6 linked regions of the Danio rerio genome follow. The protein of the gene in region 6 binds, or shares a complex with, the protein of the main gene of each other region. Links are inferred from orthologs where the notes say so. Each region holds a gene or a part of one and is shown on either strand. Other genes may lie near its edges.

Region 1 (4,171 bases), about 5.3 Mb from region 6:
GACTTACACAAACTTTTTCAAGTTGTCCTTGTTTTCAAACTACTAAAATTTAGTTTTTCTCTTAGATTATTTCCCCCCTTGTCTTTCTTCAAAAAACTTTTTTATGCAATTAGGAAGTAGTTTATTCCTAGCTTTAAACATAAATTGTGCTGTTTTAGATTTAACCAAATAATTGAACTTAAGTATTTATGATTTTGATTTAATTTAAAAAATAAATTATTTGTATGCTCCAAATACCAAATAATACTGATATCTGATTGGAAATTAATTCATCATTATGTCATAACCCTCGCTTACTTTTTAGGTAGATACTTGTGTTATCTTTGGAAAGTACCATTGCGTTTTTTTTCTGGTTCCATTGGCCAGGAAATTAGTATTTAAAATAGTATGTCTTGAAGCTGAAATACTTACGATAAAGGGCAAAACAATCTATGCGTCTAGTAAGAAAATAAAAAAAGTAAAGTAAAATTGATATCCCATGGTTTTATTATAGTAAAAGTTCAGTATGTTTTTGCCTCGCAAAATTGACTGAGAGTCTCATTTGAAGTTCTGTAAAAGAGATATTGTGTTTATTATTATTCCTGATTTCGATCTTTGTTGGTGGGTTTGTAGGACAGTACCACCCTCTGGTGCTAGAAAAATGGGATATTAATAATTTTCAGGCAGTATGTGAGGCATCAGTCGCTCAATTTCACTTAATGTCAACTATTTCGCTTGGTGGCTCAAAAACGGGTCCGTCCATTGAGTCGTGTGAAGTTCTAAGGGCGTTTTTTTGTCTAATCAAAGATACACGCTGGCTAATAATATAACCTTTTGTTTGTAATGCTTACCCAAACCGACATTCGTTAAACAAATGCAAATTTTAAAGCAATTTTCCTTATGAACGTATTTATTGAAATGGCAAGGCGCTGTAATCACAGATGACTATGATTTGTATGATCTTAAATACGGTGAGAAATATAACATGCACCACGTGACAATGCTGCCTACGTTGAGCAAATGATTTATGTGTAAATAGCTGTCAGGACGATCAATTTATTTGAGAAAACTATCTATACAAATAAAACATAAAACATTATTCACCCTGAATATGTAAAATTAGTAGCAACTTTCGTAGTGTCAGTATCCGCTTGCTATTGTAGCAAAGAACCAACCTGCATGCTGATTCTACCAACTTCTATTTCTATAGGTCCTACGCTCATGTGGTATTTATGGCAAAAACACAACAAACCAATGTTGTCAAAAATAAAAATAAACAAATAAATAAGCAATAAGGCAATAAATAAGAGCATACGAATGTAAATAAATAAAATCTCTTCACAAAAGAAACCGAAAGTTATGTTTTCACACCGGCAGAATTCAGGGCAGCCCACTCACGCTTCAGACATGGCGACGCAGATGGCGGTAAATTCAGGTATTAATGTATACATTTCGTATTCTTACATATTTAATGTTTTATACGATATATAACATTGACTTTTGTGTTAGCACGTTAAACCAAAGTATTTTAATACATTTAAAGTACAAGTACTTCGTCAGCCATTCACTTTATCGCTACCTTCACCAGAAAATAGGCTTAGAGTGTGTAACTAAATGCGCAACTAACGTTACATTGCTTACTATTATCTGGGCTCTTCTTAAACGAGGTATTATTAAAGTAAAAGTCTTTGTAAAACTTGTTCTTTTGTGCGACCAGAATAAATAAGTTGACGTTATTTAAAACATCAATGTCTCCTAACATCAATGTCTGTTAAATTGCCTCGTGAATATGCCCTTTACGTCTAATAAAAATGATACATGGACAAGATAAGTCTAGGTTTAAGTCTAAAGATACTTTAATGTCTATATACGAGTTATGTTTATACTGTTGTTTAGTGGTTTACATATTATTGAGGTCAAGTTGATTTTATATGCGCACATATTCGTTCAGTGGCAACTTGTGACATGCTTCCTATATTGTTTTTAACGTGGTTACTTTGAATATTGGGTCTGAAATCACATGTAGGTTTGACTTTAAACAACATTAACACTATTTATTTGACTGTGAAATGTGGTGTACTTTGATAGTCAATGACTGCTAATATGATTTCATGTTTATAATCTGCAAAAAATACTTTCTCGAAACTATATTATTGAGGAGAAATCTGAATGTGTGAATATACCTTTAACTTTACCTCAATTTAAATATTTTGTCTTCCATTTTACATTTTTCATGTATTTGTTTCCTTGTTTTGTACCTTAGGAATGTTGTTAATGATTGTCAGTGAAATGAAAGTTAATGTCTGTGTTTTATAATGTGTCTTTGTTTACCTTCTGCAATTCTACTGTGTAAGTTCTACCTATAAGTCGAGGCAACTGGTTGCTCTGCTTTTGAGATACTTATAACATTTAGTTTTTTGTTTTGTCTTTAAAAAAGCACATTTGACAGCTTGAGTTTTTTTTTTTTTTTTTTTTTACCTTTATAGGTCATGATAGTTTGTGAAATTGACAAAAGTACTAGCCTGAAGTAGGGCTGTGCGATTTGGGGAAAATATCTAATTGCGATTTGTATTTTTTTATTTCTGACAGATATTGCGATTTCAATTTGATATGCAATTCAATTTTGTAGTCAAACTTCAGCTTAATAAACTGTATTGTAGCTTCTGTGTTAATTAAAATGAAGAACTAAAAAAAATAATAGCAATAGTAATAGCAAACAACCTGAAATTGTACTTTGCTAGCTACTAGATTAAGTGTCACAGCCAATACTTTTAGTTGATTTTTTTTAGCAAGACACTCCTCATATAGCGGCCTGTGGTGCATTTTTAGGTGCTGGTTGCTGTATGTCCTCATGCTGTGGGAACAATTCTTTGACAGCTCTTACAAATTGCCTGTTTGTGTTCGGTGTCTGTGACTTTGAAACCAAAATATTCCCATATAACAGACCTGCTGTTTTTCTTTGATATAAATTCATCTATTAATGCTTTTGAAGCGGCAGATGTCATCATCCCACTCGTTTGCGCTTTCCTTTTTTTTTTCTTTTTTATTGTGGGCTTTTACATACTTTCAGTTGAGCAATTCTGATTGGCCAGAATGAAAGTGTGCTCACTCAGTAAGACTGTCTAGTAAGACTGTCACACACAGACGGCAGTCACACATTTGCTCTGGGTGGAGGAAATTAAATAATATATTTCATATAGCAGCCTCTTGTGATTGCAATTCGATTTCGATTAATTGCACAGCCCTAGCCTAAAGTATGAAAAACACTAGTCTGCACTCTGCAGACACTTAAGAAACAGGAGGGTTGAAGTAGTCTGAAACAAAAACTGTAAAACTCAAATCGCAACAAAATGACAAAAATAATCAGTTGAAAACAGAAAAATTCAAACTATTATATATTATATCATACGTATGCTTAATCATACGTCACACTGACAGGAGGAAAAATGTGAAAAAGCAACTTTTTCAGTCACTAATATAGAGAAATGCATATGAAGAGTTTAGATGCAAAAACCTCTAAAAGCCATCTGATGTTTTCTTCTAAAACTAGCATTTTTCTCCGACTCGTGTGTTGGCTCATTCATTCATTCATTTTCTTGTCGGCTTAGTCCCTTTATTAATCCGGGGTCGCCACAGCGGAATGAACCGCCAACTTATACAGCAAGTTTTTACTCAGCAGATGCCCTTCCAGCCGCAACCCATCTCTGGGAAACATTCACACACACACTCATACACTACAGACAATTTAGCCTACCCAATTCACCTGTACCACATGTCTTTGGACTGTGGGGGAAAGCGGAGCACCCGGAGGAAACCCACGCGAAGGCAGGGAGAACATGCAAACTCCACACAGAAACGCCAACTGAGCCGAGGTTCGAACCAGCGACCTTCTTGCTGTGAGGCGACAGCACTACCTATGTGTTGGCTCAGTAATTTTACATTTATAGTGATGGATAAGTTCTTTTAATCGCCTTTCAAGTGAAATAACTGAACATAAACATTGGAGGTTAAGAAAATGTTTCTTTCATTTAGAGGTTTTTGCATCTGAACTCCTTATATATATATTGTAAAGAGATTGTGGTTCTGTTTGCAGGAGCCAGTCTGTGGGGGCCGCTGAAGGAGCTCTGGGAGGCTGTGGAAGGGGCCATTTGGAGACGTCAACCAGAAAGTGTTCATCTTTTAGATCTGCAGT
Region 2 (5,657 bases), on a different chromosome or scaffold from region 6:
TTCCAACCCTGCTCCAACACACTCACCCGTAGGTTTTAAACAAGCCTAAAGGACTCAGTTAGATCAGGTGTGTTTAATTAGGGTTGGAACTAAACTGTACAGAGCAGCAACCCTCCAGGAACCGACTTTGACACCTGTGGCTTAAACCTTTCCTAACTTGATTAATGTTTATTTTAAGTTCAAGTAGTAGATGTAAAGAATTGCATAAAAGTAGAGCACACCTGTTTGTAAAGCATACAGCAAAATCTGATGTTAAAAACTCAGAATCGATTGAAGACAGAACAGCGAGGCATTTTGAAAATCTCAGAATTGATTTCTTGTGAGATTTTTCACCACAGCTCTACTAAATAAGCATATTTACCTGTTCCTGGTGTACCCTGTAGACCAGACAATGGTGTGTGAACTCCAGCAAATGGCTGTGAAAACAAATTCTTATAAGACAATGAAACCATCTGAAATGCTCGAATATAGACATGTCCACAATTTAATATTTTTGTCGAATACAGCAAGTTTAAGAAAAAAACATGTGCTACAGTGGCCTAAAATCTAAATCTTGATTAATTTAACATTTTAACTCGATTCCGATTAATGATATATATATATATATATATATATATATATATATATATATATATATATATATATATATATATATATATATATATATATATATTATTAATACATTATTATTGTGTTATTATTATTTTATTTATTTTATGTTTTTGCCCTCATAGTTGGCAAGTTACATATAGCGATAGGTTTTGTGACAAGTTTTGTAAAGTAACGTGTAGCTGTAACAGTTGAGATGTGTAGAGGAGCATATGTATGCGAAGCCTGCGCCAGACCATACCCGTGCACCTGGCAGAAGCATAATATCATAATAACATAACAAATATACATCATAATATAATAAGAATAAATCTGCCTTAACAGTATGTGGTTATGTGACTCCTTACGTTGTAGGAAAAGTCATTCAAAAAATTGACCTAGAATGTTAGCATAGTGTTGTACACTAGAATTATCAGTAATAGTGTAATTATCAGCAATAAAATAACATGTTTTCTTGCAAAATAAGCATTCATTAAAGGGACAGCCTGCACAAACAGAAAAATTCTCACACTCAAGTGGTTTTAAATTTTTGTTGCATTTTTTTCTTCAGTTGAACTCAAAGCAAGATATTCTGAAGAATGCTGGAAAAAGCAGCCACTGACAGCCATAGTCAGAACAAAAAATATTATGGAATTCAATGGCTTTTTTGCCAACCTTCTTCAGTATATCCTCCTTTGTGTTCAACAGAAGAAACTCAAACAGGTATGGAACCTGTGGAAATGATTAATGGATGGTGTAATTAATTTTTGGGTAAACTATCATTTTTTTTTTTTAATTCATAAGTCAAAAACAAAAACTAAATACATGGTACATAACACTATGCTTGCAATAATACTTTATGTTTACCGCACTTAAGTATTTATTTTTGTTCTTCATCCACGACTGCATAATTACACAAACCAAAATAATAGTAATAACTAAAGTTTTCATATTTGTTAGCACTTCTCACTTGTTTGCGAGCAGCAAGTGGTGACATTCCCACAGCAGAGCCATTGAGGTCATCATAGATGCTTCTGACTGGAGGGGCTCCGCTCTTATCTTTAGGTGTTGGGACTACAGGCTGTGGAGGAGACCCACCTGATGGAAAAAAAGAACATTAAATCTGTAAGAAAGCAACTTTGCTTATAAGTATAAAAATAACCATAATTAAGGTATCAACAAAGCACTGTAACCAATAACAAGCATTGTTATATGCATTTACCAGCAAGAAGAGGAGACCTGATTTCTGCTCCACCTGTCAAACCAAAAGACCTGGGCTGGGGAGTGACAGGAGCAGGCAGGTCTCCCATTAGAAACCCCGGTAAAAACTGAGCCCCAGGCTTAGGAGAGGTTGGAGAGCCGAGCGTCATTGGTTCAATACCTGTTATGAGACATTTGAAAGGTTTACAGTGTTTAATGCTTTTTAAAATTAAAGCCTATAACATTCCTGGAGTTCTAGTTTCTAGTTTTCTAGTTTCTAGTTTTAGACAGTCTAGTTTTGTGGATTTTTTTGTTCTTCCAAAACCTTTTCAGGCCTGGAAAATATTTAAACATAAAATGTACAAATTCCATGACTTTTCCATGACTGTATGAACCCTGTTTATATTCACACATTCGCTCATTTTTGAACAGTGACACTTTGACATGCTACTTTAAATATTTGGTCATTAGCATTATTTAATTTTGCACTTTGATAGTCATAAGCTGCTTATATGATTACCCTATTAAGAATTTGCAAAGTATACTTCTGAAATTAAGTTATATTAAAAATATATATATAAATTATCAAAGTCTGTGTGCAAATATAAAACCAAACTGACTTTTATCTCATTTAGTGATTTACTTTTTTTCTGTTTTACAAAAACTAATTTGAAGAATTTTGGAAGGCGGTAGCCAAACACAATACACATCCATAAAGAAGAAAAAAGTAGTCCCTCAAAATATCTGGCTTTGCATTCAACACAACATGGTATATACAGAGATTGAAATTCAAAACCTTTTAAGACCTTTTTAAGACTCTTTGCATACCTCATTACCACTTCATGTTTCAACGAGTAACATTGCTAACATTTTAATTTGCAATATATTTACTGACTATAAATACTGATTGCAAGAAACTAATCCTTAACTGTATTTATAAACTAGATAAAAATATTAATCTAGCCTTTACAGCAGCAGGAATAAGTGTTTATCAGGTTTACTGCAGTAAACAAAGCAGCGTGATGTCAAATTTAGCAGGATTTGTTTGATTTCATAAACTACACAGCATCCCAATATTCCAAGATTAGACTCGGGCAAGCTTTAGCATACTGATACAAAAGTGAATTCCTTGTAAAATAGCAAAAGACTTGTTAATGCTTTAAAAGAGTCTTAAATTTATCTAAATATATTTATCATTTTTTATATTTTTTTAAAAACCCCGCGGACACCATGAACAAAGAAAGTTGAACAAGAAAACTAAATAAATGACAATTTTTCTCTTTGCGTGAACTCTCCCTTTAACGATAACACCAATTTGATATGGACAACGAAGCACATAAAAACAGACCCTATTTGGCAGGCACTTGATTTGGCTGTCACGTCACAGCAAATAAAAACACCCACATACAGAAATAGTTTAATAAAGTTATTAAGGGGAATAAAACACGCGTCTTTCTGCAGTGTGCTGACATTAGCTAAGCCACGGGGACGCCCGTTTCCACAAATTCATCGACATACAAACACTTCAAAACCTACAAACTCAAAAATTGTGAAAAGCACGAATACTTACAACTCTGTATCTCCATACTGGATGACTAACAGGCAGTAAACGAACAGAAGATTAGATCTGCTTTACCGAATACCGGAGAGTGCAGAATTTTTTGAACCAGACGGAAGTTGCGCGTGCTCTAATGACACCAGCGAGAGGCACTTCCGGGCGCCTCTGTCGCGCCTCTACAGGGAAGGATGTCAAACGAATTTTTATTTATCCCCAGTAACAAGATTGCGTCTACATTTGGTAATCCTAAATCAAATTGTGTCTTCTGTAACTCAAGCATCAAATCGATAATTTTATTTTTTTATCAAATGGCCACATGTTAAAGGGTTTTGTCTGATTTATCCGTCTTTTTACATCAAAATGTAAATTCAACATTAATTTTTTCCATATGTGATTTAGTTACTTTTCTCATAACAAACATAACAGAATTTATAGGCAATTTTATTATTTATTTACTGGGTAAATATTATACTCACAAATTTGCATTTTCTTCATCATTACCTAATTTGCAGAATTTTCTTTGTGACTTTAATTGTTTAACTACAACTACAACAAAATGTTTACAGCAAAAACAGTGTAAGAACTGTGAAAACTTCAAAAGACTTTGTAAATATTATTAATATTGATAGTTTTGCCTCTCAGTGGCACAGTAGGTAGTGTTGTCGCCTCCCAGCAAGAAGGTCGCTGGTTCGAACCTCGGCTCAGTTGGTGTTTCTGTGTAGAGTTTGCATGTTCTCCCTGCCTTCGTGTGGGTTTCCTCCGGGTACTCCGGTTTTCCCCACAGTCCAAAGACATGTGGTACAGGTGAATTGGGTAGGCTAAATTGTCCGCAGTGTATGAGTGTGTGTGGATGTTTCCAATGGCTTGCGGCTGGAAGGGCATCCGCTGCGTAAAAACTTGCTGGATAAGTTGGCGGTTCATTCCGTCGTGGCGACCCCGGATTAATAAAGGGACTAAGCCGACAAGAAAATGAATTAATGAGTTTTGCCTCTGTACCCTGTTATTTATTATCTTATTTTAGCATATTTTAGATATTCTTATATCATTTTTCTTGTTTATATTGTACTTGATGTCATCCATTGTTATGGTATATCTAATATTAAATAGCTGTACAAGGAAGGTAGATCTCAAATTTGTATACTTGCATGCGTTAGTAGAATGTTCTTACACAAACTAATCTGCAGGTGGCACTGTTGTTTCACAAGGTTGCATTGTTGTCCTGGATCCTCTGGAGTAGTAAAATATTGACATCCTCCTCCTCTTGCTGAAATATTCAGTCTCCATTATTAAAAAGTAAAACAATACGTTTATGGTTTTATATAGCCTACAGTGCATTTCTTGCATATGACTGAATACAATAATTTGATAGCTGATGTTGATGTTTTTTAGGTTCGTTCGTTCATTCATTCATTCATTCATTCATTCATTCATTCATTCATTCATTCATTATTCATTCATTTTCCTTTGGCTTAGTCCCTTCATTTATCAGGGGTTGCCACAGCAGAATGAACCGCAAACTTATCCAGCATATGTTTTACACAGCGGATGCCCTTCCTGCTGCACTCAGAAATAAAGGTACTTTATGTGAGCTGTCACTGGGGTGGTACTTTTTCAAAGCGTACACATTTGTATTTAAATGGTCCATATTGGTACCTCAAAGGTATATATTAGTACCAAAAAAATGTAGGCACTAAATGTACCCTTGAGGTATTAACATGGATCGTTTAGGTAAAGATTTGTAACTTTTGAAAAGGTACCATCCCAGTGACAGCTCACATACCTTTATTTCCGAGAGTGTGGGAAACATCCATATACTCATTCACACATACACTAACCCACATAGCAAAATTTCTCTGGCCCAGCTCTGGCCCACAAAATCAGGTTTTGCTTGGCCCACATGCTGCGGTGAATTACTGTACATGACTGGACCAAGTTTGGCTTCCATACAAGGGCCAAACATGGACCATATCTGGGCCAAGTCTCAGCCAAGTTAATAACTCATAAATGGGCCTGAACTGGGCCAGATATGTTGGTGCGTCACAATTGCAATTAAATTCATAAACCCATGAAGCATTGCGCTTTAGGCACACTATGGGTGTGCTTTTTTCTCAAAGTGACCTGATTGGTAGAATCTTTTTCTTTACTCAAAAATTATTTTAATGTATTTTAAATGTGGGTGAAGACAGGCCAAACTTATGTGGGCCACATATCAATTTTTAACAACATTTTTTACATATGGTCTAAATCTTGTGTGTCACGTTAAAGATGGTGCCACCTCTGCCAAACCTGGGCCATGTTTGGCCCACATGCT
Region 3 (4,982 bases), on a different chromosome or scaffold from region 6:
CTTCCAAAGTGGCAGCACGCCAGGCCTGACCACAGCGCTTACACAACCTCTGAGCCTGCAAATGCACACAGAGAGAGACAAATTTATAAAGTGACATTTTCAGTATCCACAATTCTGCAGTTAAAAAAAGGAGATAAATTTCAGACTTTACTGTCATATATTCCCTTTGAAGCTCTAAAAAATTTAATTATTTTTATAGATATGCCATACATTTCTGAATGATTGTCACCATAGAAAAGCCACCTGGCTATGTGACACTACAAACACTTCTCTTTTCTTGTGTTTTTGAACCGTTCAAAAGAAAATTTAAGTTTAGTTGAAGTTTAAAGGTACTTCAGAGCATTTACTAAAATAAACAGAAAACTCCTAAGACTCACAACCTAGACACAATTATTATTATTAGAATAACTACTCAAAGTGTGTAATTACAAATACGCTAACATGTTATTACAGGATTACAGCTTAGTATAGTATCAGTACAGACCCATAACACAAGCATTGTGTAAACAGAAATGTAACTTAACATTTGTGGCCAAATCAGAGTATTTATGTATAATAAAATACTCAACTACAAAATACCTCAAGAATGGCCATACCTAATAACCATCCAAAAAATATAGGATTAACAAAACTACAAAAATTGCTGGTTGAGTTATTGTTTTACTCCTAATTCCAAGGTTATTTCAGAAAAGAAAACAAGGGTGGAAGAGAAAATGATTTTTGTGTTGTAAAGCTTATCCTGTAAATAGTATTTTTAGTAGGAGGTTATGTTTTACAGATTCATGCACAAGATCTCTCAACATTCCTGCAGCTAGTTTTAAAAACAAGGTGTGTCATTTCTGCATAGACTGCCTGTGGTGTTGTGTTTACCGTTTCATTAATCATGTATAACAGTGGCAAACAAGTTTTCCCATGAAGATACAGTTCACTGAAAAATCTAAATTCTGTTTACTGATTTGCTCCAAATCTGTTTGAGTTTTTTTCTTCTGTTCAAAACAAAGTAATATATACTGAAGAATATTGGAGAAAAAAAGCAGCCATTGACTTCCACAGCATTTTTGTTCCCAGATTAAGTGCAAAAGCGGCTTTTAACAAGCTTGCTTCAAAATATTTTGTTTTGTGTTTAACAGAAGAAGGAAATTCATAATATGTACAACCATTTGAGTAAGGAAATAAAAAATGTAGGGTGACCTATACGTTTAAGGGAATTAATAAAGCATCTCAACTAACATACACACATACCTCATCAGTCATGCCAGCTCGTATGAGATTGAAGAGGTTTTTGAGGAGGCGAGAGTCGTCCTCTCTGTCCAGGTCTGCCAGGGGTCTTTTCTGTCTGATGGGAGCATCGGGATCCAGTTCAGTGACCAGTGGCCTGCTTAAACCACCACTGGACTGATTCCTCCTCAGCTTCAGCGTGTGGAGTGTGTTCTCCCTGCACACCAACAAACAGATTAATAAAAAATTTTATTTAGACATACTGAGACATTCTCAAAGACATAAATGAGTGGTAAAATCACTTACCAGTACACAGATTTAGCATAGTATTCAATGTTATCCGAGAAGTCTCCTATATCGTCTTTTGCTATACTCTCCAACCAATCCACCACCAGCTAAATAAAAACACACATCAGATATTGAGCTTTTTTTTTTTTTTCAATGTAAAAATATATTGGTGTAAAATGGATGTATGTTTACCTGGCTCTGTCGCACCATACTGTCCTTTTGGAAGAACTGCTCCATTACTGCTTTCTCACTCTCACTGGGCATCTCCAGAGAAAACACAACACGAAACAGTTCATATCAAAGTGAGATGTCCATGAGTAAAAACATGGCACACACCAGGGCGAACAGTCTAAATGAAACTGATACGGACACTGTATTATATTGACTAGGAGTTTTTAAAACATTAATTTAAACCAAATAAAAAAGAATCTTAAATAAAAAAAAATTACATATTTTGCATTTTGATTGCAGCAAATAAAATTATATAAAAGCTCCAGTAAATTAATTGACATTGTGTCAATTTGTCTAATCAGAATAAAACTGCATCTCTATTTAAACAAACAAGCAAAAAAATACAAATAAAATTGTGATTCTCTGGTTTTATAGAATTACGCAGCTCTATCCCAAGCAGAAGAGTAGAAAGAAACACACATGCACTTACAGTAATATCCATCATGATGTCTTCTTCTAAAACAGTCTGAACTCTGTCTCTGTGTTTGAGAGAGTTTTAACAATACATAAGCAAAAAAGTAATAGTATTCAGATATTTAAAAATCCTACTGTTTTAAAGTCTGGTATTAATAAGATTATTATTATTATTATTGTTTATTTAAACTCATAATATTGTATTTACATAGCATTTATTTGATCAAAAAACAGCAGTGAATAGTAATAGATAAGCTTAATTTACTACAGCAGCCATTACTTCAGTCTTTATTGAGACATAATCTTTGAAAAATCCCTCGACTTTGCTGATTTAGCAGTAAATAATCAATTCTCATTAAACTCAATGTTGAAAAAAGTTGTGCTGCTTTATATTTGTGTGGAAACTGAAACATTTTTGCATTTTTAGATAAACTAAGCAAAAAAACATCAAAAATATTCATTTGAAATGGAAATAGATTTGAAATGCTGTCAATTTTGATAAATTTGCCACATCAGCAACTCATGGGTATTTTATGGCAAGCTTAATATAGATTAAATACAAAAAACTTCAATAACAACTTATTTCTTATGCATTCATCAAAACAGTAGTGTGTGTGGTCTAATGTATGAGTGTGTTGTACCTGTACAGAGAGGTGATAAGTCTCCAGGTCACCATCTCTTGCTGCAATAACCAGGTGATGCTGACAGTCTTGGAGGATTTCTGCTGGCCAGGGGCTGAACGGAGAACCAGTTTCTGCAACACACTGACCTACAAGTCAGGACAGTGCATTAGTAATGACTTGTTGTGCCAATATTTTTACTTGCTATAACACTAAAAACTAAAGTCATTTTTAAAGACTATAGTCTTTTTTTTTTTTTTTTTTATAAAATCACTTACCAGTACACAGATTTAGCATAAAATCACTTACCAGTACATAGAATATGAAAATATTTTATGCATTACATACAGCTACTTATCAAAATTCCTTTGTCAAACAAGTTCATATTTTTGTTCAAGCATTGTGTGTGAATTTTAAAACAGTTACACATAGGTCAACCGAGAGTAAAAAAACATAATAAAAGTATTAGTTTCTTAAACAACTCAAATCAGTGCTGATGATTACTTGGAAAAATAAAATGATTTTAATCCTTAAAATTACAATTAGTTTACATGTTACTGTTTTATTGGAAAACACACAAAAACAAACAATCTCCTCTCAATACACACATATACTAAAGGTAAGAAGATGTATTACAGGATTAATACGTAGGATTATTAGTCTTGGATAAGTCAAGGATCTGAAATAACATTTATTTTAATGCACTTTTTAAGTTATGCTGCACAAAAAATAATCTAAAATAAAATAAAAAACAAAATCTCTCAGTATGTACTACATACAAAACAAACTCTGCTATCCATCCATACAACACAAAAACCAGAATTATAATTACATCATTTAAATACATTTTTCCAGCAGTGCTAAAAAGCTGAATAAAAAAAAGATTATTTGCTCGATGGTCCAAAACTGAAAAAAATGTGTCAAAATATTTAACATTTTCTAAACCAACATTACAATATGCATGTCTTGTAAACACAATTGATGCATTTGAGCAAAGTATGTATGAGTATTTGCTTAAACAGAAAAAAAATGGAATAGCAAAAATGAAAATTTTGTCCTAAAGGTCCTGAATGTATTATAATTGTTTATCTACAGAAAAACTGAATTATACAAATTCAACGTTAATAATAATAATTTTTTTTTATAAAAATATTAAATATATGCTGTTTGTGTTTAATACAGCCTAAACGATCAAAAAAAAAAAAAATATATATATATATATTTAAATTTAAATTATGTACTGCTAGTGTACCTTATCTTGACAGAGAGCTTCATATTCCTCCAACAGGTCAAACACGGCTGTGGACGCATGACGCAAATAAGACTCCAGGAATTCAGGAAACAAACCAAGAGAAGCTAAGAGAAGAAAACAGAAGAGCTGAAAATCATGTCAATTGACCGCTTCATTTGTGATTATGAATTACTAAGAGTATTCACCAGCCTCTCCAGGATCATCTTCCTTCAGCATCAGAGCACTCATGCTAACGTCGTCAGTAAAGCTTGTGTCCACTATTCCTGATAGAGGAGATGGGTAAAGACTGTTCGTCCAGTCACTGTCATCCAAGTTCTGGAGAGCAAACAAACAACAGCAGCACACAAAAATGTTACTAACACCAACTAAATTTGCAGTCAAAGGCTAAATTATTAGCCCTCCTTTATTTTTTTTTTATATTTCCCAAGAGATGTTTAATAGAGATTTTTTCTATTATATATATATTTTTCTGGTTTACTTTAGTTTGACTGGAAGAAAACCTTAGGTCAATATTATTAGCCACCTTGAAAATGATTTATAAAATTGCATTGCCTTGAAATTGGACTCTGATTGAAATTACTCTGATTACTAGTATCTCACAAAAGAACTAGTCAAGTATGATGTAATGTCATCGCAGCAAAGACCAAATAAATTAGTTATAAAATATTTACGATTAAAACTACTGTTTAAAATGTGTTGGAAAAAATGTCTCTATTAAACATCACTTGGGAAATAATTGAAAAAAATAATACAAATCTAACAGGAGGGATAATCATTTCATCTTGATCTGTACATAGACTGTACAGAGGGATAAAGGATGTTATGTTTGTACAAACAGAGGTCACTCACCATGCTCAGGCCGCCTTTGGTACGAGGTGTGTTTACGAAGCGAGGGGTTCTGCTTCCTGAGGTCCCGAGGATGGCAGACACATCGGGATTCCTAAGGGCACTTCTTGGGG
Region 4 (5,675 bases), on a different chromosome or scaffold from region 6:
GGACGCAGCATCTCTCCTCTCTCTCTCTCTGTATGTGTGTGTGTGTGTGTGCGCCTGTACCTGTGTTAGCCGGTGTGGAGAAACTGAAGCTTGACCCAGTGCCGGCGGAGGTGGTGGTGGAGCCGAACCCGCCAAACGCTCCTGCTGGAGACAAACACACACCACAGATGAAAAACACACACTCACACACACGCACACGCACACAACAGAGACGAAAAAAACACACAAGATGAAAACACACACACACACACACACACACACACACCGGAGATGAAAAACACACTCACACACACACTCACGCACACGCACACAACAGAGACGAAAAAAACACACAAGATGAAAACACACACACACACACACACACACCGGAGATGAAAAACACACTCACACACACACTCACGCACACAACAGAGACGAAAAAAACACACAAGATGAAAACACACACACACACCGGAGATGATGAGCACTAACTGTTGATGACATGATCAGAGTGGCACCAACACACACACACACACTACGTCTGTCTGTCTGTCACTCTCTCTCTCTCTCTCACACACACACAGGGATGGAGGCGTGGCGTGATCTGATCATGCGTGACCTTTGACCTCTCGGAGCTCATCTACCTGCTCCCCCGAGGCCGCTGCCGAAACTGAACACCGGGGCCGCAGGGCCCAAACCGAACCCGCCGAAACTAACAGCAGCGGCAGAGGGGGCGGGGCCAGGGCCCGCACTGCAGACCAGGGGCCCGAATCCTGACCACAGCGGCCCCAGGAGAAACACACACACACAAACAGGAGAGAGTCAGTGTGTTAGAGACAGCGCGCACACACACACACACACACACACACACACACAGGAGAGAGAGAGTCAGTGTGTTAGAGACAGCGCACACACACACAGGAGAGTGTGTTAAAGACAGCGCATGCACACACGCACACACACACACACACACACACACACACACAGGAGAGAGTTTGTTAGATACAGCACACACGCACACACGTGAACGCAAGCAAACACATGCTCGCACGCACGCGCACACACACGAGAGAGAGTGGGTTAGTGACAGCATATGCACGTATGCGCACACACGTGCTCGCTCACAAACACACACACACACAGAAGAGAGTCAGTCAGTGTGTTAGAGACAGCACACACACACACACTCACCCGTGCCACCAGTGCCGAAGCCGAAGCCTGTGGAAGCTGATGTGGTGGTCGGCGCTCCAAAGCCGGTTCCGGTCAGACCTGTAACCATGGCAACAGCATGTTAGCAGCGCGTGCGTGTGTGTGTGTGTGCACGCGCAGTGAAACATTACTGATGATGAGGATGAAGGCTGTGTGCTATACTGCATTAGAGGACTGTATAGGGGCGATGCTGTCTGTGATGGAGAGGAAGGGAATCCTGCTGTTATTATAGTTAATTATAACTGTTTTCATGCCTGAACATAACGAAACCACAGAACAGACCCGCAGTGAAGAGCAAGCGGCGCCCCCTGGTGGATCAGCAGTCTGGGTTGTGTATAGGGAGGATCGGCTCTGATGTTTGTTGCCAGCCTCCAGAGAAACAGCTTTACAGGATGATATCGGGACAGAACCGTCACATACAGGAGAACGGCGGGAGGAAGAGCAGCAGGGTTGACGGTGTGGTCTGCTGACGGCAGCTGAACTGCAGCACATCTCTCTAACCACAGTGACCCCGTCATCATTACAGCATACAACTCACTCTGACTGAACTGTGACAGGTCAATATAACCAACAACCAGCAGAACCCTGACCACACACACACACACACACACACACACACCACTCAGATGCAGAGTGCAGATGACGAGAGCAGAGTGTGTGTGTGTGTGTGTGTGTGTGTGTGTGTGTGTGTGTGCTGAGGAGGGAACTGGGGGAGCGCTGCTGTTATGTGTAATGGAGGTCAGCTAGTGAGTGCTGTGCAGGTAAACCTCGATCCTCCGACCTCTAGAGGTGCTCTAGCGACAGACACTAGAGGCCATGGTGTTTCGCCTCCTTGTAAGGCCTGGTTTATACTTCTGCAGCAAGTGAGCGGCGTGACCCACGGCGCATGTAACGCGTGTAGCTGTGCTTATACTGCTGTTGCTAGCTCTGTTGGTCTGCATTAACACTTCTGAAGCACTAGTGGGCAGTGAGGTGTAAATGTTCCTCTGTGTCGAGTTTCTTCGCTGCTGTTTTGCTATCCTGAACACTTCCTGGATGTACAAGTGGCTCAAACTCGCTCATTTTGAGGCAGGAACCGGCGGACGTGCAGCAACTGTAACCATGAGGGAAACACAGAACAAAACTCTCCATCCGGAGCTCCTTCACTTGTAAACATTCGCGCGGCTCTCGGTCCCGCCCAGACTCGTCAGCGATACCAAGCCGACCAATCACAGAGCTTGCGCTACGCGTTGTTGTGACGTGTAGTTACATTTTTTGAGAGGTGCACGTCAGCGACGCCGATGGCCACGGCGAATGGCTATTGGTCAGCGGCGTAGCATACGCCACCGTTTGCCGCAGAAGTATAAATCAGCCTTAACATGCGAAAGGTCGCCGGTTTGATCCCAGCTCAGTGCAGGTTGGGTGGTGTGGGACCGGCGGGGTGACACATGCAGACCTTCACCCCAACACAACCCCTGACAGAGCTCACTAGCAGACTCTACAGTGAACTCCTGCTACCAGCCAATACTGCAGAGCACAGCAGCGGTACTGGAGTGTTACTGGAGTGTGTAGTGTGTACTGGAGTGTGTAGTGTGTACTGTAGTGTATACTGGAGTGTGTAGTGTATACTGGAGTGTGTAGTGTGTACTGTAGTGTATACTGGAGTGTGTAGTGTATACTGGAGTGTGTAGTGTGTACTGTAGTGTATACTGGAGTGTGTAGTGTATACTGGAGTGTGTAGTGTGTACTGTAGTGTATACTTGAGTGTGTAGTGTGTACTGTAGTGTATACTGGAGTGTGTAGTGTATACTTGAGTGTGTAGTGTGTACTGTAGTGTATACTGGAGTGTGTAGTGTATACTGGAGTGTGTAGTGTGTACTGTAGTGTATACTGGAGTGTGTAGTGTATACTTGAGTGTGTAGTGTGTACTGTAGTGTATACTGGAGTGTGTAGTGTATACTGGAGTGTGTAGTGTGTACTGTAGTGTATACTGGAGTGAAGAGTATCAAAAAACGTCACTGATCACAAATTGAACATATTAAACTAGCTTTACCTCACAGGCCCGGGAGAGAGGGAGAGTGTGTGTGTGTGTGTGTGTGTGTTTACCGAAGCCCGTGGCGCTGCTGGCGGTGGTTGTGGTTGAGGCGCCGAAACCAAACGGAGTGGATGAAGATGACTTAAATGAGAAGCCCGGAGCGCCTTCATCATCATCACCATCACACACACACACACACACAGTTATGAACGCACAACAGCAGCCGCACAGTAATGAAAACACACACACACACACACACAGAGCAGATGAGATGAGCGCCAGTGGTTTACAGCACAGTGGTATCAGGTTTACAGCAGTATCAGCGCTCCTGCAGCGCCGTCATCATGTTTAATGTTCATTATTAATAGTTTTAGATTAATTTTACTCACTCGCGCTGCCCGACGCGCCGCCGAAGTTGAACGCCATGCTTCCGGTCCTGAGCGAAACGGTCCGCCCGGAAACAAAAGCTGTGAACAAGAGGTTCCTACCGGTAGCGTCGCGTCACACACTCCTCCGGCGTAGCGCGCGAAAACATTGATATAGATTAAAGTGAAACTGGAGCTCATCAGCAGAACAGCGCCGCTCAAATGTTCAACTGTGCTTTTGCACTCAGAGTCCGCCATGTTGGGACATTAAACCTGGCCGTTATTCAGTTGCGGCTCAGGATGTGCTGCAGTCAGCAGACGACATGAAGACAGAGACACAACCGTCAACATTAATAAAACATCTTTATTAACACACCATGATGATCATGAACACACACACACACTCGTGCAGATTCACACACTCAGGCCCTTCTTCTTCATCAGGGTCTTCTTCTTCAGCTCCGTCAGCCGTTTCTTCTTCTTCTTCTGGGGCCCCGGGGCCTCCGGCCGTGGGGCTTTGGGCTCCGCCGGGGTGTTGAACACGGCCTCCGTCAGGTCAGGCTGCAGCAGCACACACTCCTCCATCCGCTTCTCCATCCGCACCTGCTTCACCATCTGACGCTCCTTCTGCCGCGCGGCTGCAGCCAGTCGGAGCATGCGCCGGTGCTGCACACACGCGCACACACACACACACACACACACACACACACACACACACACACACACACACACACACACACACCAAAACAATATTAACACTCAGATCAATAACAGATCAGTAGCAGACAGTGCTGCGTGCGTGCGTGCGTGCGTGCGTGCGTGTGTGTGTGTGTGTGTGCGCTGCTGACCGCGTTGGGTGACTGGAAGTGTGGGTTCTCGTAGAGCGTGGGTCCGCCGAAGCTGCCCTGGAAGATGCGTATGGGGTTGAGGACGAAGCGCGGGCCGATCTCCACCAGCGAGGCGTCCTCCTCCACGATCTGCAACAGGAGAACAGCGGTCAGTGGAGCGCCGCAGAACCGCAGATCCTCTCAGAACCGCAGAACCTCACCTGATAGTTCCGGAACCAGATCCTGTGGTCTGCAATGCTGAAGCTGATGACATGATCCACGAACGGCTGACTCTTAGGGTGGTGCAGCGGGGTGGAGAAGACCTGCAGGACACGAGCAGTGTTAGTGGACATTGCAGACCAGTACAAACCAGTTTGAACCAGTCTAAACCAGCTATAAACCAGCCTAGACCAACTATAAACCAGTCTAGACCAGCTATAAGCCAGTTTAAACCAGTCTGTGCGCTAGTTTAAGTCCTGAGCATGTACACTGGGGCGAATACACACACACACACACACACACACTGGATTAAAGGCGGCTGTAGCTATGGCGGGGGCTGATCACTGAGGGCTGTTCTCACATGCCGTCTTTTCTACAAGCTAGTTTGCTTTTTCGTGAGCGGCACGATGTGCTCACGCTTTCCAGGCACACCAGGTTAAAAGAACGGTGCGAGCGCACTGTGCATCACGTGACTAGAATGGACCAATCAGCTTCATCCTTCATATGGAACACACACATTACTGCTCATGAGAGAAACACGAGATGAACAGCAAACACACTCCTAATGCAGCCTGCGACTGCACACACTCTCTCTACAGGCCAATACTCACAACCACATCAATAATACAGACAGCTGTTATTGTGCTCACTGACTGACTGATTGATCTGTCGTTTATTTTCAGTGAACACATTATTCCTCATGTTTAAATGCCAGAAACTCTTGTCTTCTGTTGAGTCCACAGGGAAATGCTGCTGGGTCTGCTGTGCATCAGGCAGCGAGCCGCAGTGAAGAGCTCTATACTGTCACCAGCTGATGCAGCACAGCAGCGCCATTACACATGACAGAGTCTTCCTCAGACTACAACCACACATCCAGCATCTGCAACCCTACATGCCAGAGTCAGACGAGGAAGATGAAGATCAGAGGAAGATCAGAGAGGAAGATGAAGATCAGAGAGGAAGATCAGAGAGGAAGATCAGAGAGGAAGATGAAGATCAGAGAGAGATGAAGATCAGAGAGGAAGATCAGAGAGGAAGAGATGAAGAACAGAGGACAAACAC
Region 5 (5,727 bases), on a different chromosome or scaffold from region 6:
CTGGTCAACTACATTTAAGGCCAGGACGCACTAATCCATCGGTCGGCCATATGCCCTTTTTACATTTCCGCGTTTCTCAGTAGCGGAAGTCGTCATAGTTGGGTAATTTCAGAGCGCAGAAAATTGGAGAAAACATTTTTTTTACAATCTTATTTGCTCAAATAATTAAAAAAAAACTCTACGATGATGTTATAAAGACTTTCAGACAAAGGGAAAAAATTAGTGCAAGACTGATGACAGCAGCCAGAGGAGAGAATAGACAAAATGTCTGTCCTGTCCTGTAGAAGCTGCATTAAAAACACCTGGCACAAGTGGTAATTTGTTTTTTGTAATTTGAAGCAAAGACGATGTAGTACATACATAATTACATATAAATGTTCTTATGTAAAAAAAAAAAATCTAAATATTAAAACTTCCAAAGATGTAGAGGCTGATGACTGTTAAACATCTCATAACAGGCTTGTGAAAAGGGTTGCATCAGCCGTCAATCTCGCTAGTTGGTTTGGTGTGTTCCACGTTGTGTATTGTCGGGTTTATGTTGAAGATTACAGGGCAAGGTCAGCATCTGATTGGTTATTCAGCAACCAATCAGAGTGCAAAAATAAAAACTGAAGTAATGTAGCAAGCAGACAATTAAGGCTGATTTACATTTCTTCATCAAGCGCACTTGTATGCTCCAGTGCAGCCTTTGCAGTTGCATAGCACTCGCAGTGGCTGCCGCACACTTCTCAAGAAATATAACTATACTTTCACAACGACGCATAGTACAAGCTTTGTAATAGGTCAGCTTGTTAGCTGTGACCAGTGTGGGTGAGACAGAGATCCGCGCCAACCTGTTTGAGTGAGTGTTTACAAGTGTCGAGAGTCTGTGAAGTCGCTCCGGATGGAAACTGTAGTTTTGTGTTTATGATTAATGCTGTTGCACGTCTGCCGGTTCCCGCATCTTAATGAGTAAGTTTGAGCGACTTGTACATTAGGGTAACAAATCAGAAAATGCAAAACATCCACATATAAAGTATAAAAAGCAGACAATGCACAGTGATGCACCGAGATATCGAAATGAATAGAATCGATGGCATGATAATCGTAACCGAACCGTGAGGCCAGTGTAGGTTTACACCTCTACTTTGCATGTGCATGTCGGAAGTTCGGTTTTCATGTATTGAACAACAAAACAGATTATTGCGAAGCAAAGTAATAAAACAAATCATCTTACAAACGGTTTTCATTGGCGCTAGTTGTAAGGCGTAAACCTGGTGTGCCCCAGCATTTATAAGCCTGACAAAGCATACTTTTTATAAAGAGGTTACAACTATGGCTTTTTTGGGAATGTAATGTAATGTATTTATCTAATGCCATTTCAGCAACTAAGGCTATTTTCATAGCAGGAACCTTTCAACAATATATATACACAATTAAAAGTCAACAAACAAAAGAATACATAAATTAAATAGGATTTTTAGTGTTGATGCATGATAGAAATTCTAAAATCTTTTCTAGTTTCACCTTGTTAAAAATGTCCTTAAAAGAGTTAATTTCATAAAAAAAGTCTTCTGGAATCATTAAAAGCAGGACAGTCCAGTAAAATGTGGCTTTTTTGGGAGAAAACAAAAACGAAAAAAACTTTGTTTTCAGGTAACCAGGTAAAGAATAAAAAGTGATTTGGGGAAAGCAGAGAGGTTATTCGTATGTGTATAACATATTTACGCATGAGCAAGTATTTAACAGTCAAAACAACACTAATAAACATGAGCATACTTAACTAGAGCACACAGCATTTCTTCAGTAAGTCACAGAGAGCTACAGGCCGATCATGGCGAATACAAAATTTCTTGTGGTTTTAATAGATCAGCATAAACATAATTAATGTACCCTAAGCTAGATTCAATAAAGTGCTTGCTTTTTTATTAAGCTTGGAACATGCAGTTTTAAAACCTTATTAATGAGGGGCTTAAATTCATTGGGAAAAAAAAGAATATACTGTGCAATTAATCTATTGACAGTAGAAAATAAAAACAAGGCGCAATGATGCACAAATGTCAACAAAAATACGAGTATGTACCGCCCTGACTTTTAAACTGCCTTCACATCTTGCATTTCTACGTGGGGTTAATTACTAAATATACCAGAATACACACTTTGACCATGCTGAACACGAACCAGTTTATTTCATGATTTTTCAATACATCAACAGTCTCATTTTTACAGTATCCTACACATAACACTATGCATCGACTATTTCTAACTTCTAATTAAACCTCACACAAAAGAAAATGCGTTTTTGACTGCCAAATAGCTTATGTGCCTCTCTAACCCACTTAATTTGCCTAAAACAGATAATCTAGTAATATCACGAAAAATGCAAAGTGATTTTCAACTATGATTCATAGTGTTTAGGTTATGAATTATCAGAATAACTGTTTATGATGAATTCAGGATCACTATAAGGCTAATTAAAATTGTTGTTAATGAAAACACACACGAACCTGTGTTAATCACAACACCTTTACGTTCTTTATGAAATAACATGAGTGCAGGATTTCCAGTGTGTGTGTGATGTGCAGATGAAAACACGCCACGACACGCACACACTCGCTCATCCCGCCTTTCTTCATGATGTCAAACCCCACTGCGTTAAGCAGCATAATGTACGCCAAAACATACCGTTATATTAATCTCTAATCACATCCAAAACGATCATCAACCAAGCTTAAAACTTACAAATATAACAACACGCACACAAAAAGTGCTCTGAAGCTCATTACTCTCATGTGGAGTCACTCTGAGCGACACACGCGAGTTATGTAGTCAAAGTAAGAGTATAAAGAACTTAAATAGGAAATCGTTCGCTACGAAAACCAAGTTTTAATGGTTTGTTTGGACTGAAGTGATTATATCTGACGCCGGTGCTAGCCGCAGCTAACGGCTAACGGTTTGGGTATGAAACGCGTTCACGCGGTTGTCTTCACCTCAGTGAAAACACATTCAAATTTCACTTCTCAGTCGCCATATTTTCGAGTATTTTCCTCACCGAGTGGCTTTGTTTTATCAGTCAAATGAGTTGGCGGTGTGGAAAGCGTGTGCTGGAAGAACGTGAACAGGCCTAAAACAGGCCTCAAAATGTCTCCTGCTTCACAAAAACAAAACCCGCCGCCAAACCGCTGGTTAGGGTTCCGTTAATAACCGTTACATTCCCCGCTGTTGGCGCTTCATGTTGGTTTTGTTTACCTGTTTGCCTTTGGCGTAGGGTTTTGACGCAATGTGGTGTCTTCTGGATCTGATTTTCCCTCCTCCTGTCGCCGCCATGGTTAACTAGATTGAGTCTGCTCAGTAGCGCTCGCCGGATAGAGCTCCGCTGTCACAGCGCGGCCCTCCAATATACCGTCAGCCACCGCGGCGCTGGGTTTCATGGGATATGTAGTTCAGGAGGACACTTCATGCGCGTTCACTATTGACGTCAGTTTGTAGGAACTTCGTTCGGGTGGTAGGGGATTTTGCTTTTGTAGATGTGAGTAAACTGAGGTATTTAGTAAATTAGGTCAAGATACTTTCTGTTTCATTTTTAAAACAGTGGTTTCTCCAAATATGTTCATCTTCATGCCAGAAATAAACATCTAGCAGTCATGAATGGTTCTTGTATAACCACCCATAGCTTATGTAGTGTAAACATAAATATTAGATATTAGATATCATTCATTCATTTTCTTTTCGGCTTATTCCCTTTATTAATCAGGGGTCGCCACAGCGGAATGAACTGCAAACTCATGCAGCATATGTATTACGCAGCAGATGCCCTTCCAGCCGCAACCCATCACTGGGAAACACCCATACACACTTATTCACCAACATACAATTTAGCCTACCCAATCCACCTGTACCGCATGTGTTTGGACTGTGGGGGAAACCGGAGCACCCGGAGGAAACCCACGCCAACACATGCAACCCCACACAGAAACACCTACAGACCCAGTCAAGGCTCGAACCAGCGACCTTCTTGTTGTGAGGCGATTATACTACCCATCGCTTTGCAGTTGAAACAATATATATATATATATATATATATATATATATATATATATATATATATATATATATATATATATATATATATATTTTTTTTTTTTTTTTAATTGTTTTAAATAATGTACCAAATATTATTTTAATTTACTTTATGCAATCATTGTATTGATTTATTAATTATATTTCTAATTGATTTTTATACTCATTTGTAATTATACTAATTTTATTTATTTAATTCTGCTTTTTTGTGATGCATTTATTATTAATTTTTAATTGCTTCTGACATTTTTTTCATCATTTTAATGTAATTCATGTATTTATTGTTTGTTTAAATAAATTTCATATTAACAATTTAACGTGTAATTTATTTGATTTTGATTTAGGATTTTTTTTTTCTAATTATAATTTATTATTATTAGATTATTTAAATATAATCTTCATTTAATTACATACAAATTTGTTTGTTAATAAATGGTTTCATTTTGTATCATTTTAATAAATAAATAATTTTTTATTTATTCAGAATTTTCTTGGGGTGACGCGGTGGCGCAGTGGGTAGCGCTCTTGCCTCACAGCAAGAAGGTCGCTGGTTCGAGCCTGGGTCAGTTGGCATTTCTGTGTGGAGTTTGATGTTCTCCCTGTGTTCGCGTGGGTTTCCTCCGGGTGCTCCGGTTTCCCGTACCGTCCAAACACATGCACTAGGTGAATTGAGTTAGCTAAATTGGCTGTAGTGTGTGAGTGAATGAGAGTGTATGGATGTTTCCCGGTGATGGGTTGCAGCTGGAGGGGCATCCGCTGCATAAAACATATGCTGGATGAGTTGGCGATTTTATTCCACTGTGGCGACCCCTGATTAATAAAGGAACTAAGCCGAAAAAGAAAATTAATGAATTTTTTTTGTTAATTTAATTGTAATTTGTGTATTTATTCTTTTTTTTAATCAATTTTATTTCAATTTTCAGAAAATTTAATTTAATATTTTTTCCAATAATAATTAATTATAAATACATTATTTAAATTTTATTTTTTAACAAATTTGTTTGTAAACAGTTTAATTTTGTTTCATTTTAATAAATTATTTATTTTTAATATATTCTGACTTTCTTGTTAATTTGAATACAATTGATGTATTTATTGTTTGTTTAAACAAATGTAATCCTTTTTCCGGATAATTGAATTAAATCTCATTTAATATTTTGTATAGTTTTAATCAAGTAGCATTAAATAATTTATAGAAACTTTTCATTTAACTATTTACAAATTTGTTAAACAATTAGTTTAATTTTGTTTATTAATAGATGGTTTCCTTCTGTATTATTTTTTCATTTATTGTGACATTTTTCCACTGGCTTGCATGGTTCGGGACCATGTGGAGCTGCGCATCGATGGATTTGCTCCAGTGTTTGGACAGTGAAAATTAAACCACATTGAACTGAACTGAACTGAACTTCAACACTGAAAAGTGGACTGACACAGTCTCAATCTGCTATAATCTGTGTGAAGCTGCTTTGACACAATCTACATAGTAAAAGCGCTACAGAAATAAAGATGAATTTCTTGCCTCTAAATAATTTATTAATTAAATTAAATAACAAAAACAATAACAATAATTTTATTACAACTATTTACATTATTATTATTATTATTATTATTATTATTATTATTATTATTATCAGTGGTGTAAAGTAACTAATTACAAATAATCAA
Region 6 (4,982 bases):
CAAGAACACTGTTGTGTGTCACAAAACTGTAAACACAACTTTGTTAGCCAGTGTCTTCTCTGGTCTGGTCATTAGGGTGCATGGTGCAATATGACGTATTAGTATTAGATTTTGTATTCCCCATATCTTTGCATGATTTGTATGTTTTTGCTTCCATTTCTGGACTTTAAACATTGCACAACCTTTGCTGTAAATGGAGCTTCAGACCGCTCTTTTATTTAATCTAAAATATCTCAATTTGTAGGGCGTCAGTGGATAGCACGATCGCCTAACAGCAAGAAGGTCGCTGGTTCGAGCCCCGGCTGGGTCAGTTGGCGATTCTGTATGGAGTTTGCATGTTCTCCTCGTGTTCACGTGGGTTTGCTCAAGGTGCTTCGGTTTCCCCCACAAGTCCAAAGACATATTGTATAGGTGAATTCGGTAAGCTAAATTGCCCGTAGTGTATGTGTGTAATTGTGTGTGTATGGATGTTTTCCAGTGAGGGGTTGCAGCTGGAAGGGCATTCGCTGCAAAAAACATATGCTGGATAATTTATTCCGCTGTGGCGAGACCAGATTAATAAAGGGACTAAGGCGAAAAGAAAATGAATGAATCTTAACTTGTTCTTCAAAAATGATTAAAGGGTGGAGACTGGAATGACATGAGGATGAGTAATTAATAACGGAATTTAGATTTTTGGGTCAACTAATACTTTCAGTTGAAATTTTGAAACTTGAATAGAATGTTGAAACTCATAACACATTTTAATAATTCATAATTGTTAGATTTAGTCATAAATAATAGTCGTAAATAGTCAGTTTAGTCATAATTTTTTTTTTAATGTTTAGAAATACTGGTAACACTTTACAATAAGGTTGTATTAGTTAATGCATTTACTAATGAACAATACACAGTAAAGCATGAATTTGAATGTTACTTATGCACTATACAACGTTGAACTATGATTAATAAATGCTGTAGAAGCATTGTTTATAAGTAGCTCATGTTAATCAATACATAAACTAATGAAACCTTATTGTAAAGTGTGACCGAAATACTTAGTTTCATAATGCTCACCTTTCAGCAATAGCCACTGCCATGTTTTTGAGTCGCTCTTTGTTGGACTGAGGTTCGCTGACTTGAGCGATGACTGGACTCAACAATTTATTCATCAGCTCCAAAACCTTATCAGCATTCTGGAGCAGGAAATAAAAAAAAATGTTTTAGGCACAATTACAAGAGACTGCTAAACCCAAAGGTCCGTCTCAGCTTATCTTACCTTGGCTAACTCGTAGAGTTTGACGGCCTCCTCAAACAATCCCTTGTTCTCGGCCTCAGAGGCTACTTTGGTAATGATGGCCCGCGTGTCTCCGGCAAACTTGTCAATCACACCAGGCTGAATGGATTCAAACAAACACTGCTTAGAGCAAGCAGGACTCTGAATGCACAATGGTGTTTGTCAATAAGCCTTGAGCATGAAAAGCCGGAGTGTGTTGTACAGGCCCTGCGAGACAATAGCACATTCTACACAACCCTGAAAGCCTGAACGAACAAGCTTTTCACAATGGGTTCCAAGAATGAACAGTGGGCACGTTCGCTGTCTGCCAGTCAGGTGATATTACAACAAAAGCCTCCAACATACCTTTCTGCTTCCATCTTTTTCAAGCCTTCCAAGAAGCATATCGAACTGCAGGAAGAGAGTTAAGTATTGACAGGAATTATGTAATGATAACAGCAATTAGTATGCAGAAACCCTTCCTCCAATGAGCTTACAAAGTTTCTTACCTCTCGACTCTCGATGACTAGCTCGCTGACACAGCGCATAAACATGTTTTCTCCTTGACTGTCCTTCTCATTCCTGTGGCCAGTAGGAGAGCAGTGATTGTTAGTTTGTTGCAGTACAGCAATTATCCAGTTTGTGGCATAAAAGATTCAAAGGAACATGTTCGCTTTGTGACATGCATGCAAACCCTGAGATAAAAGACCTTAAGAAGATCAACTGCTTCCTTTTTGTACTAGTGGCTGTGGGGTCTTTTAAAACAATGGGTCGAGTTAGCATCGAATTCACAGTGTGCATGAAGCAGGTTTAATTATTCATGGATCATTCATGGAAGGTTCTGAGTTATTCATGACACATTAATCTCTTCTCGGAGAGGGATTTCCGCACAGTATATTCAGAGAAAAAGACATGACTTACAGTTCAGCCACTGATCAAACAGGAAACAAGTTTATTTCATAATAGCTTTGTATAGGCTTCCTTAATAGCTGTTCAACGTATCTAATCTAACATCAGCTCTTTTAGTATGTTACTCCAAATAACCCAATAGCATTACTTAAAGGCTGACGAAATCCTCTACTAAATTTGATGAGGCTTTTACAGCTTTATGTTTGTTGAACAATAATGTTAGCATCTGTTAGTTTTAATTGTAAGGAACTACTAGCTTTTGAGCTAGTTTCATCTTGCAGGTTTAAAATCTCTATCAGTGCAGCATTACTGATAGTGACGTACAATAGGACTGTGAGTACTTCGATGATGCATCTGTCTCCAATTATTATTCATGAGACTGAGTTTTTTTTTATCCCATAAGAGTTACTGATTCTGAATAATTTATTCAAGCTGTGAGAATGTGCAGCAAGGTGTTCACAATGGGTTGCGATGCCAATTAGAGCTAAAGATCATTTTAGACAGGGTTGGGGCAGGCTCGGGCTTGCATGGTAAATTAATAGTCATGTAATGCATTTCAATTAGTGTGAGAAAGTAATCAAATCGTTTGTTACAGCCTTGCAAAGGTGAAACAAATGATAACAGAGAAGTCAAAAAGAGCAAGTTTTGTGGAGTGGGAATTGATTGGTCATGCGCTCACTGATGGTGCATCCAACAGCACTGATCACCCTTTCACTGCTGCTGCTACAGGCCGGGAGGCATACTGATCTGGCTAATTTTGCAAGTTTTAGGTAGGATTGTTTGTTCATCTTCCACCAGCCAAGAACATTTATTTCATTTTCCATGGCAGCAGTTTCAATGTCCTCTTTTTCCAGGACTGATTAAATAATTTTCCTCCACAAAAACACATAGCATAATCTTAATGAGTGAAGAATTTTCAAATTATAATTAAATATTAATTAAATAAAAAATGCATAATGTAGTTAGAGTACACAGGCTAATGCTGGCATTATTATTTTAACATTCAGCTTCGCCTTAAGGCCAGATTGTGAAGAGCAGTGGTGAAACAAATCCCGCAGAACCTTCATCTTAATTTCGGTATTGCCAAATACCTGTCATTAATTTATTTGTTAGGAAAGAGGACTTATTTTATTTCTTTGTTCCAACTTCTAAGTGGCCTATAGCCTACGTTTGTTATGAATAAATGATGTTAAAACACAAATAAACGACTCATTCTTGAAAAAAAGGTAAAAGAGCTGTGTGCATGTGCACATTTGAATAATGTTAAACTTTTAAAAAGCTGTAAATCAAAATGTACTTGTCAGGCTCGGGCCGAATTCTGTCAGGCTATGGCCTAAATTGTTGGCCTTATTACTGCTCTAATGCCAATAGACATACTAAATTCTACAAATTTGTACTGAATTGTAAACAAATGTGACTATATCAGCATTTCCCATTGTACATTGAGCGCTGCTAAGCAAATTTTTAAGTCATTATGACAGTATGAAAGACAAACGACAGTTGTTTGCTGTGTTCTTTTTCTCCAGCTTTTCCCCATCACCCTCACTTCTCTTCCTTCTGCTTACAACTTTCCAAACCTATGTAAATAGCTTTTTCATTCTGAGATAGACCTAAACTGAAAAACAAAGGTTTTGTGACCCTTAAGTATAGAATGCCCATTACCGGAGAAAGTAGAAGTACTGCAGGGCTTCTCGCGGATCAGTGGACTCAAATTTGCGTGTGTACAACATAAGCAGCCTGATGAAGTTTAGCCGTCGCACCATTGGAGGATCTCCAGCTTCTTGACTCACTTAAAAAAAAAGATCAGAAAAAATATTACAAACAAGATAAATTTTTAAGTTCTCACTTAACGCTCAATAGTCACAACTTACAGAGTTGAGCGCTCTGTCCTGATGATTTGAGCAGGAGTTTGAGTTCGTACAGCACCAGAGCAACGTGAACGGCATGGCTGCGCAGACGCTCCACTCTGAAGAGAAACGCGATGGCCGCCTCAAACTGCGCCGTCAGGAAAAGCACTTGGAAGTACAAGAAGGGCTGGTGGCTGGCTGAAAAATGGGACTCACCTGCAGAAAACAATTCATGCCACACATCTTTATGAGCAAAACCACTTACAGAACACACATAAAGCACACACTGGCAATGGGCACATGCAGCCAGTACGGATTTGTCACATAAGGAATTTAAATGCTTCTTTAAGCGAGTAATAGGTTCCATGTAAATCTTCCTCGGCTGTGAAGTGCTTAAATAGGCTGTTTCATTTCCATTTGCGCAAGTTGAAATAATCCCCTCTCATTTAAATTGCCGTTAAAACTGACGTCTTAAAGCGGCATTGAAAAGACCCGCTGCGACTTTGCATGGAGCGTAATGGCAGCGCAGCTGGGAGTGAAGGAGTCTTATCAGCAAAAGAGCGAGTCTTTAATGTGGTGTACTGCAGGAGTGCCGGCGAGATAAGACTGACTCATCAGGCAGGTGGAGGAAACTAAGCGGATGCCTTTTTAAAACTGGGCGAGGAGAAGTTTAAGCCATGAGAAAACAGCACAATGACATGCACTTTTATCTGGGCTAGGCACACACTGGCAGAGACTGAATGGGAGGTTTTGCATACTGACTTACTTCCTAGTTTTTCAAATGCCCATTTAAACCTCTTCCTTTAGATAACTGGGATGACTTAATGGAATAATTTAAATCGTTTTATATGTAAAACTATGTACAGCATATATATATATATATATATATATATATATATATATATATATATATATATATATATATATATATATATATATATATATATATATACATACACACACGCACACAC

What was found.
Region 1: nup93 (region 6) and nup205 share a complex: the UniProt entries of both Homo sapiens proteins name them as parts of the nuclear pore complex. The link is inferred for Danio rerio from reciprocal best matches to the Homo sapiens genes NUP93 and NUP205.
Region 2: the proteins of nup93 (region 6) and nup35 are in contact, whole or in part, in a crystal structure (PDB 7MW1), measured with the Homo sapiens proteins. The link is inferred for Danio rerio from reciprocal best matches to the Homo sapiens genes NUP93 and NUP35. Residues at the interface, in NP_055484.3 of Homo sapiens: Tyr266, Tyr269, Asn402, Ala407, Asp408, Lys409, Thr410, Glu411, Tyr413, Tyr448, His452, Phe453, Val455, Asn456, Leu461; in NP_612142.2 of Homo sapiens: Ala88, Pro89, Pro90, Val91, Arg92, Ser93, Ile94, Tyr95.
Region 3: nup93 (region 6) and nup107 share a complex: the UniProt entries of both Homo sapiens proteins name them as parts of the nuclear pore complex. The link is inferred for Danio rerio from reciprocal best matches to the Homo sapiens genes NUP93 and NUP107.
Region 4: nup93 (region 6) and nup54 share a complex: the UniProt entries of both Homo sapiens proteins name them as parts of the p62 complex. The link is inferred for Danio rerio from reciprocal best matches to the Homo sapiens genes NUP93 and NUP54.
Region 5: nup93 (region 6) and nup153 share a complex: the UniProt entries of both Homo sapiens proteins name them as parts of the nuclear pore complex. The link is inferred for Danio rerio from reciprocal best matches to the Homo sapiens genes NUP93 and NUP153.

The regions. Positions count from the first base shown.
Region 1 is NC_133193.1:13,627,642-13,631,812, reverse strand, and holds the start of nup205 (nuclear pore complex protein Nup205), read left to right. Parts: upstream 1-1,371; 5' UTR 1,372-1,386; coding exon 1,387-1,414; intron 1,415-4,072; coding exon 4,073-4,171. UniProt on the Homo sapiens protein: Plays a role in the nuclear pore complex (NPC) assembly and/or maintenance. May anchor NUP62 and other nucleoporins, but not NUP153 and TPR, to the NPC.
Region 2 is NC_133184.1:12,404,834-12,410,490, forward strand, and holds the start of nup35 (nucleoporin NUP35), read right to left. Parts: upstream 3,419-5,657; 5' UTR 3,375-3,418; coding exon 3,359-3,374; intron 1,970-3,358; coding exon 1,811-1,969; intron 1,687-1,810; coding exon 1,559-1,686; intron 417-1,558; coding exon 362-416; intron 1-361. UniProt on the Homo sapiens protein: Functions as a component of the nuclear pore complex (NPC).
Region 3 is NC_133179.1:23,342,603-23,347,584, forward strand, and holds part of nup107 (nuclear pore complex protein Nup107), read right to left. Parts: coding exon 4,873-4,982; intron 4,339-4,872; coding exon 4,209-4,338; intron 4,128-4,208; coding exon 4,024-4,127; intron 2,921-4,023; coding exon 2,793-2,920; intron 2,217-2,792; coding exon 2,168-2,216; intron 1,771-2,167; coding exon 1,699-1,770; intron 1,614-1,698; coding exon 1,525-1,613; intron 1,436-1,524; coding exon 1,243-1,435; intron 56-1,242; coding exon 1-55. UniProt on the Homo sapiens protein: Plays a role in the nuclear pore complex (NPC) assembly and/or maintenance. Required for the assembly of peripheral proteins into the NPC. May anchor NUP62 to the NPC. Involved in nephrogenesis.
Region 4 is NC_133196.1:123,431-129,105, forward strand, and holds the start of nup54 (nucleoporin p54), read right to left. Parts: upstream 3,644-5,675; 5' UTR 3,629-3,643; coding exon 3,592-3,628; intron 3,367-3,591; coding exon 3,274-3,366; intron 1,249-3,273; coding exon 1,171-1,248; intron 753-1,170; coding exon of another isoform or gene 624-752; intron 145-623; coding exon 61-144; intron 1-60. Other genes in the region: bxdc2 (ribosome biogenesis protein BRX1 homolog), read right to left, coding at 3,982-4,233, 4,416-4,544, 4,616-4,717. UniProt on the Homo sapiens protein: Component of the nuclear pore complex, a complex required for the trafficking across the nuclear membrane.
Region 5 is NC_133194.1:48,944,968-48,950,694, forward strand, and holds the start of nup153 (nuclear pore complex protein Nup153), read right to left. Parts: upstream 3,384-5,727; 5' UTR 3,307-3,383; coding exon 3,229-3,306; intron 1-3,228. UniProt on the Homo sapiens protein: Component of the nuclear pore complex (NPC), a complex required for the trafficking across the nuclear envelope. Functions as a scaffolding element in the nuclear phase of the NPC essential for normal nucleocytoplasmic transport of proteins and mRNAs.
Region 6 is NC_133193.1:18,953,297-18,958,278, reverse strand, and holds part of nup93 (nuclear pore complex protein Nup93), read right to left. Parts: intron 4,228-4,982; coding exon 4,036-4,227; intron 3,954-4,035; coding exon 3,827-3,953; intron 1,838-3,826; coding exon 1,765-1,837; intron 1,667-1,764; coding exon 1,622-1,666; intron 1,376-1,621; coding exon 1,259-1,375; intron 1,176-1,258; coding exon 1,057-1,175; intron 1-1,056. UniProt on the Homo sapiens protein: Plays a role in the nuclear pore complex (NPC) assembly and/or maintenance. May anchor nucleoporins, but not NUP153 and TPR, to the NPC. During renal development, regulates podocyte migration and proliferation through SMAD4 signaling.